Xenopus tropicalis: one gene and its partner. The protein of the gene in region 2 interacts with the protein of the main gene of each other region in a pairwise test. Links are inferred from orthologs where the notes say so. Each region holds a gene or a part of one and is shown on either strand. Other genes may lie near its edges. The genes, in order: rack1 and mkrn2.

What was found.
Region 1: the proteins of mkrn2 (region 2) and rack1 interact in binary tests that used the Homo sapiens proteins (3 or more experiments, as listed by UniProt). The two-hybrid records come from large-scale screens. The link is inferred for Xenopus tropicalis from reciprocal best matches to the Homo sapiens genes MKRN2 and RACK1.

Annotation. Positions count from the first base shown.
Region 1 is NC_030684.2:71,557,395-71,561,810, forward strand, and holds the start of rack1 (receptor of activated protein C kinase 1), read right to left. Parts: upstream 3,012-4,416; 5' UTR 2,943-3,011; coding exon 2,834-2,942; exon of another isoform or gene 2,706-2,833; intron 2,347-2,705; exon of another isoform or gene 2,252-2,346; intron 2,077-2,251; coding exon 1,905-2,076; intron 1,541-1,904; coding exon 1,393-1,540; intron 1,207-1,392; coding exon 1,111-1,206; intron 77-1,110; coding exon 1-76. UniProt on the Homo sapiens protein: Scaffolding protein involved in the recruitment, assembly and/or regulation of a variety of signaling molecules. Interacts with a wide variety of proteins and plays a role in many cellular processes.
Region 2 is NC_030680.2:153,474,727-153,478,041, forward strand, and holds the end of mkrn2 (probable E3 ubiquitin-protein ligase makorin-2), read right to left. Parts: intron 3,287-3,315; coding exon 2,976-3,286; intron 2,892-2,975; coding exon 2,677-2,891; intron 1,785-2,676; coding exon 1,674-1,784; intron 1,374-1,673; coding exon 1,229-1,373; intron 856-1,228; coding exon 709-855; 3' UTR 649-708; downstream 1-648. UniProt on the Homo sapiens protein: E3 ubiquitin ligase catalyzing the covalent attachment of ubiquitin moieties onto substrate proteins.

The DNA of each region.
Region 1 (4,416 bases), on a different chromosome or scaffold from region 2:
ACACCGTAACAGTGTTCAAGTAACCACTGTGACCAATGTGGTTGGTCTTCAGTTTGCAATTGGCCAGATTCCAGACCTGAAATAAGAAAAGTCATTTAGAATACAACTATAGGCTACTGGAATCCAAGGATGTGTACACAGAAAAAAAAGATTAAATGCACTATGTACATATCCACAGATGTTAAACTATGGAGAGAAAGATTTCATATAGTAAACAACCTGTACCATATGGTATTCTTAAAAAGGTGCAAGAGGATACTGGCCATGACTTGGTAGGGTAGTTTGGCCAATTTTGACCATATGGGCCTACTTTGTGTGCCTATATAGCCAATACAAAAGGATGGGGGGGGGGGGGGGGGGAAGATAAATAATTCCATGATTCTGGTAGATCAAGGATCAGCAGTCCTCATGGCCAATTTCCAGTCAGCCAGAAGGGAAGCAGCAACTCTGCAATTTGTCTAATTTGTTCAGTGTCGACACTGAATAGAAAAAAAAGCCACACATGTACTGCCACTACAATATTCATTCATCACTCAAATGCTGTGTCTGGTAGGCCCATGTATGGGGGCTGAAAGCAGAGCTGCAAGATTAACTACAGAAGTAGGGCATAATTATTTTTACATTATGTGTTTTGCGCTTTTGTAACAGCCCTAGGAAATCATAGCCCTTTAGAAGTAATGTGCCCCAGTAGCTTCCCATCTTTTCTGATGATTCACTGCACATGTTCTGTTCTGTTCTGTTTCCCGAGCTTAGAACTATTGACAGGCTAGAAAATTTGCGACAACCCCTAGACTTAGCATCTCAACTGCACACTGAGCACGAGTGTCACCGACACTAATAAAATCCAAGATGGGGAGTTCCCGTGACAACTGCAGAAGACCTGAACATTCAGTATATAAAAGTGGGCATCTCTAGCCACTTATTTTCAGGGCTTAGTTCTTAGTACTTGTTTAAGAGGGGTCAGTAGTGCACTATTTAAAGGGGGAGTGAAAACGCTTTAAAGCTGCTTAACACTTTACTTACCAAACAAGTATGCATTTAAAAAAAAAAAAAAAAAAAAAAAAAAAACTCTGAACCCGTATTAAGACTGGAGGCATCCAAAATACTCACCTTCACCATCTTGTCCCAGCCGCAGGATACAATGATGGGATTACTGCTGTTAGGGGAGAACCGGACACAGGACACCCATTCAGTATGTGATTCCTCCTAAGAAAGACAGCTTCATTAGTAAACAGCCTGCCAAAAGACCTAGAATGACTGTTTATTTGGTCCCTTCATAATTGCAGGAGTGTCATCCTGAAATTAGTGTGCCTATATTAGACACTCAGAATACAATTGTTCTAATCACGTGGACCAACAGAACTAAAATATAGTTATAACGCTCATACATACCTGCACAGTGTATTTACAAACGCCTAAAGTGTTCCACAGCTTGATTGTTTTGTCACGGGATCCAGACACAATTTGCCGGTTGTCAGCAGAGAAAGCGACACTCAGGACATCTTTGGTGTGTCCTACAAACCGGCGTGTGGTGGTGCCACTGCAGAGGGATATTTGACACGATGACAAAATGACAGTATCCATTCCCCTCAGAACACTCCTTTCTGTGCCACCCTGCAGGGGGAGGGACAGATTCATAGCTTCCCTCTACCTAGGTTACTATTTAACTGGTCCTTTGTCATATGCTTCCCCTGCAGGGATATTCTGGTCTGACAGTAAGTGGACTCAAATGATTCTTAATGCTAAAGTTAGTCCAGTCATTCCTTCTATCCAAGTAATAAGTCAAATTCTGTAGTACTGAAACCATGTCTAATTCCCTGCTGCTGATCAGTAACTTTTGCTGAACATTCTGAAAAGCAGCCATTTAACAGGCCAGGTAATGGAACAAGGATAAGTGTACTCACGTTGTAAGATCCCACAGTCTGAGTGTTCCATCCCAGGATCCTGAGAGAGCGAACTGCCCATCTGAAGAGATAACCACATCACTGACAAAGTGGGAGTGACCCCGGAGAGCACGTTGTGGAACCCCATAGTTTGTTTCATCACGAGTCAGCTTCCACATGATGACAGTCTTATCTGTGCAGAGAGGAAAAAAAAAAAAAAAAAAAAGTCAAAGGACATAAGAACACTATTGCTGATTTAAATAAGTGGTAACCTCAACTTCTATGCAGTAAACCTCCAACAAGGCAGTTCCACACAGGGGTAACCCTCCCAAAATAAACCATGCCATCACAGCGAAGCCATGCCATACCTTGTCATTGGTCTACGGTGTCTCATTTTATGTCTGTAAGCAGGTGAAGATGTTTTTCCTTTGCACAACCCAAACTGCCAGAAGAATGAGGTTATCTAGTATGCAAGAAAAATGAAGACATGAGATGTGCAAAGAAAAAACACTTCCACCACTGCTCATACAACTCTATGGCATTGTCAGCCTGCAAATTCTTCAGTACCAAGGGCTAAGGAACAAAGTTCTAGCAAACAATAGCTGCCACTATACATCATATATCGCTCACACCATAATTAAAAGGTAAGTTAGCCCGCAAAATCTACCACCATCTTTCCCTTGCTAATCAAAACGACAGATAAAGAAAAGCTTCATTATAGTTAGGACTTCCAATGACGCATAATGAATGAGGAGCCATTTTAGCCCCGATACAGTAACATATCACACAGCGACACTAAGTAGTTACAGCAATCACATTTACCAGGGCTGAAAAAAGCAACGTGTAAGCATTCATGCTCTTGTTCTAACGATAAACGGGGTCCCGGATACCGCAATGCATATAAACTTGCGTGGATCGATAGGCTACAGTAGGCGTCTCATGCATCTCACCTCTGGAAGAGCTGAGAATCATGTCCGGGAATTGTGGGGTAGTCGCGATTTGCGTGACCCAGCCATTATGGCCCTTTAGGGTCCCCCGAAGTGTCATTTGCTCAGTCATGGCTGCGATGAGTCCGAAACCGCTCCACCGGCAAAGGATGGAGACAGATGGTAGACACCGGGCCTAAAGCGACCGAAGAGAGGCTGAACTAGGCCTCGCCTCGCCTTTTATACAAAGCGGCGTCCTGACGTAAGCGCGCTGCGCCGCCTTGCGTCAGGACGCCTTTACCCGGATGCATTACTTGTTTACATCACCAGAAACGAGTTTCAACATGGCAGCGAGTTGCAGAATGTCGTACAGTGCAACTTAGGCTAAAAAATCGCGCTACTTTAAAATCTTTTAAAACAAGACAAAAAAAGAAAATATGAATGACAACGTGAATTCCAAGCATAGGTATAAGCGCTAGAACAGAATTGGCTATTAAATCAACTGGTGACTACTTTCCCTGTCAAATAGAGAAATCGCGGGGATAGGCTGACCGTACGCAGGCTAGTTTGCGTTCTGATTGTAGCACACGTGAGAGGGTTCCCATGCTTATATGACTGTGTGCTGGCGCCATATTGGTTGTGGAATGTTAGCTGCCGTAAGTGTGGAACACGCACATCTTGGATATATTGTTGTTTAAAACGTAACTATCATGAGGATACTGGGCGGCAGGCATAAGTAGTTTTTTTTTGTCATAAACAGGAAATAAAACATTAGAAACATTAAAAGTGCTTCAAAACATGCTTTACATGTATTATATTAGTCAGTGCCCCACTGGGTCTCTTTCACCACTGGGGAATCTCCTTTATAGAGTTATCTCTGTTTGTAGGGGTACCTTTTGGCATTATAGTCCACACCTTGCGCCCTGCTCCTTACTCCCCCACCTGAACTAGGGCAGGGACACTGCAGTATCTCCTGCACTGAACAATTTCCTTATAAAAAAAAAAAAATTCTGCTCTTTAAGCCACACGCAGCCTATGGCAAAGTTCTCACTATTTTTGATTGAACCAAACTGTAAACTGGGATTGAAACCACCATTAAAGGAGAACTATAGCCCCCAACAATGTAGGTCTCTACAAAAATATATTGCATAAGCAAGCTCATACGTAAAACCCTGCTTCATCTAAATAAACCATTTTCATAAAAATAGACATTTTTAGTAGTTTGTGCTATTGCGTAATCATAAATAGAAAATTGCCATTTTAAGAATTAAGGGCCACCCCCTGGGATCATAGGATTCACAGTGCACACAAACAAGCCAAGGCACACATACATGCTAGGCCCCATCAGCCAATGAATAGACAGGGTTCTGTCTTTAACTCCCACACTACTTCCTGTTACGGTTAGAGCTGGGCAATATTTACTGATATATATATATATTCCATTTTGGTGAGATTACTAGGTCACTTAAAATTATATAAACTATCTGTTGGTTAAGTATTCATTCTGGGGGTATAGTAGGGCGGCCCATGCTGCACATTACTAATTGTAACATACCTCTTAAATTTCAAGACAATGTAAAATCTAAAATGAAAAAAATGCCTTTGTT
Region 2 (3,315 bases):
GAAAGGGGATCTCACCATCAGCATAGGAAGGGGTTCCTTACTGTAAGGGCAGTCAGGTTATGGGATTCCTTACCAAGAGAGGGGGAATGAGTGATACATTGGGGGTGGGGAGGAAAGGGGATCTCACCATCAGCATAGGAAGGGGTTCCTTACTGTAAGGGCAGTCAGGTTATGGGGTTCCCTACCCAGAGAGGGGGAATGAGTGATACATTGGGGGTGGGGAGGAAAGGAGATCTCACCATCAGCATAGGAAGGGGTTCCTTACTGTAAGGGCAGTCAGGTTATGGGGTTCCCTACCCAGAGAGGGGGAATGAGTGATACATTGGGGGTGGGGAGGAAAGGGGATCTTTATAAAGAGAAATGGGGATCCTCAATCTAGTGTTTGAGTATAATAGCCCCCACCCCAGGGCAGTAACATTAAGATCCAATGCAGATCACATGACACTTCCCATGAGGCAGTGGGCCCCAGAGCTGACATGAAGGCAAGGGTAAGGCAGAAGGGTGGGTACCAGTGTTGGCCCATACGGTTGCAGCTGAGACTGAATGTGGGGGGGGGGAGAACCAATGTATTTGCAGTAGGACAGAGGGTGAGGGACCCCCCCCCACCTCATGGGGCCCCTCTGTACAGACAGACAGAACAAGAGACAGTCCCAGACATCAGGTTTATTGTTGTGCAAACGGGTCACTAATGATTCCGGCCGGGGGGGCTCAGTTAGAGGCTGCGGGGGGTTCCTCACCGACTCCGGACAGGTGCATAAAGAGCTCCCCCAGTTCCGCCACCTCATCCTCTGCATCAGGGAGGTTCCGCTGCTCCCGCTCCTCAATGAAGTCCCACAGCCGCACCGAATTGAGAAACTGCAAGGAGGCAACAGGATGTCTTATGGATGGCTCCTCCCCCAGGCAGCTAATGCTATACACAGGGTAACCCCACCCCCTCCCCAGGCAGCCAATGCTATACACAGGGTAACCCCACCCCCCAGCCAATGCTATATACAGGGTAACCCCACCCCCCAACCAATGCTATATACAGGGTAACCCCACCCCCCAGCCAATGCTATACACAGGGTAACCCCACCCCCTCCCCAGGCAGCCAATGCTATACACAGGGTAACCCCACCCCCTCCCCAGGCAGCCAATGCTATACACAGGGTAACCCCACCCCCTCCCCAGGCAGCCAATGCTATACCCCCCACAGGAAGGTTCGGTACCCCCACACAGCGCCTCTTACCCTCACGGTGCCTTCGGACCCAAGCTGCTTCCGTGGTTTCTCAGGTTCTGCCCTCGTCCCATCAGGGTAGGCGTGTAAGTAAAGGCATTTGCCCCCAAATGGGCACGTTCCCCGCCCCTGATCAAAGTATTTACAGGCTTTTTTCCTGGAACAGAAGGGATGGGGGGTCCTCCGGTTATTCCTATACAATGTGAGGGGGGGGGTTCTCTGGGACCTGAGCCTCATTCAATGACCCCCCAGCACTATGGCAGCACCAAGACACTGCTGCAGGAGGGGAGGGGCGGGGGGAATGTGTGCCAAGTCAGTGTGGCGATAGGGTGGGCTGAATACTGGGGGTCAGCCTGGCACAGCTGGGGGGGCATCAGCCCCCAGAGACACAGGAAGGCCCTAAATACCACAGAGGGGCAGAGTGGGCACAATGTGTGTTTGTGGGGGGGCCACTCACCCCATTCCCTGCTTAAAGGCCTCAATCAGCTCAAACTTCTTGCTTTGGTCTTCGACCCAATAGGCGCTGGGGATGACGAACTCGGAGATGACGCGGCACTCTGGGCACGACCTGCAATACAGGAGTCAGTGAGCCGGGCACGGGGGGGGGGCACACCCCTCCTACCCCCCCAACCTGAGGGCCCACAGGCTCCACCCCCTTCTCCGGGTCAGGATTTGCCCCTGTGCCCCACACAGTGCCAGCTCTCCTCCTGCTGATTTAAAGGGGAACTGTCACTGTGAGAGAGAAATCACATTTAACCCTTTGTGTACCCCTCATTCCCAGGATTCTGAGAAGCTTCTCTAACGGAGCTGTGCCCTCACTGGGTGCCAGTGGAGCACCAGCCCCCCCCCCCCCGGGTCAGAATTAGCCCCGTGCCCCACACAGTGCCAGCTCTCCTCCTGCTGATTTAAAGGGGAACTGTCACTGTGAGAGAGAAATCACATTTAACCCTTTGTGTACCCCTCATTCCCAGGATTCTGAGAAGCTTCTCTAACGGAGCTGTGCCCTCACTGGGTGCCAGTGGAGCACCAGCCCCCCCCGGTCAGAATTTGCCCCGTGCCCCACACAGTGCCAGCTCTCCTCCTGCTGATTTAAAGGGGAACTGTCACTGTGAGAGAGAAATCACATTTAACCCTTTGTGTACCCCTCATTTCCAGGATTCTGAGAAGCTTCTCTAACGAAGCTGTGCCCTCACTGGGTGCCAGTGGAGCACCAGCCCCCCCCCCCCCCCCCGGGTCAGAATTAGCCCCGTGCCCCACACAGTGCCAGCTCTCCTGCTGTTGATTTAAAGGGGAACTGTCACTGTGAGAGAGAAATCACATTTAACCCTTTGTGTACCCTTTCATTCCCAGGATTCTGAGGAGCCTCTCTAACTGACCCCTGCCCTCACTGGGTGCCAGTGGAGCACCAGCCCCCCAGCCGTGGCCACACCTACCTACCTACCTGTGAGGGCAGCACTCACTTGATGACAGGATTCTCGAACTGGCGGGCACATCTCCACTGGCGGATACATGCCAGGCAGTAGGTGTGGTGGCAGTTGGAGAGGATGCCGAAGCGCCGCTCGGAGGGCGACTGTTTGTCGTAGACGCGCTCCATGCAGATGCTGCACACCTTGCCCTCACTGGCCTGGAAGGCAAACGCTCTCTCCATGTCCCGCTCGAAGTTGGCCATGCACAGCTGGCGGGAGAGAGGCAGATGAGGCACCCGTGCCAACCCCAACCCCCCCCCCCCCCCCGTGCCCCACAACAAACCGCCACTCACCTTCTCGTGGTGCCCCCTCTGCTCCTGGTCGTACGGATGCAGGACCTGGAGGCCGCAGATCTCGCACACGTTGCCATGGATATAGGGGCAGCTCTCGCCATAGTGACAGCCACCGGCCTGGGCAAAAGGGCACAACTGCTGGGGGGCATCAGGATAGGCGCTGGGGATTGGGGTCTCATCCAGTCCGGTGCAGATGGCTTCCAGGTACGAATGGGGTTTGGCCTCCAACTCACTGACTGGGGGGTCAGCGGCGCAGCCGGGCCGGAGTGCAGGATCGGGATGAGCCTTTTCCACGGAGGCGCCGCACAGATCTAAGAGGGGAGAGGTCAGAGTGACGCGC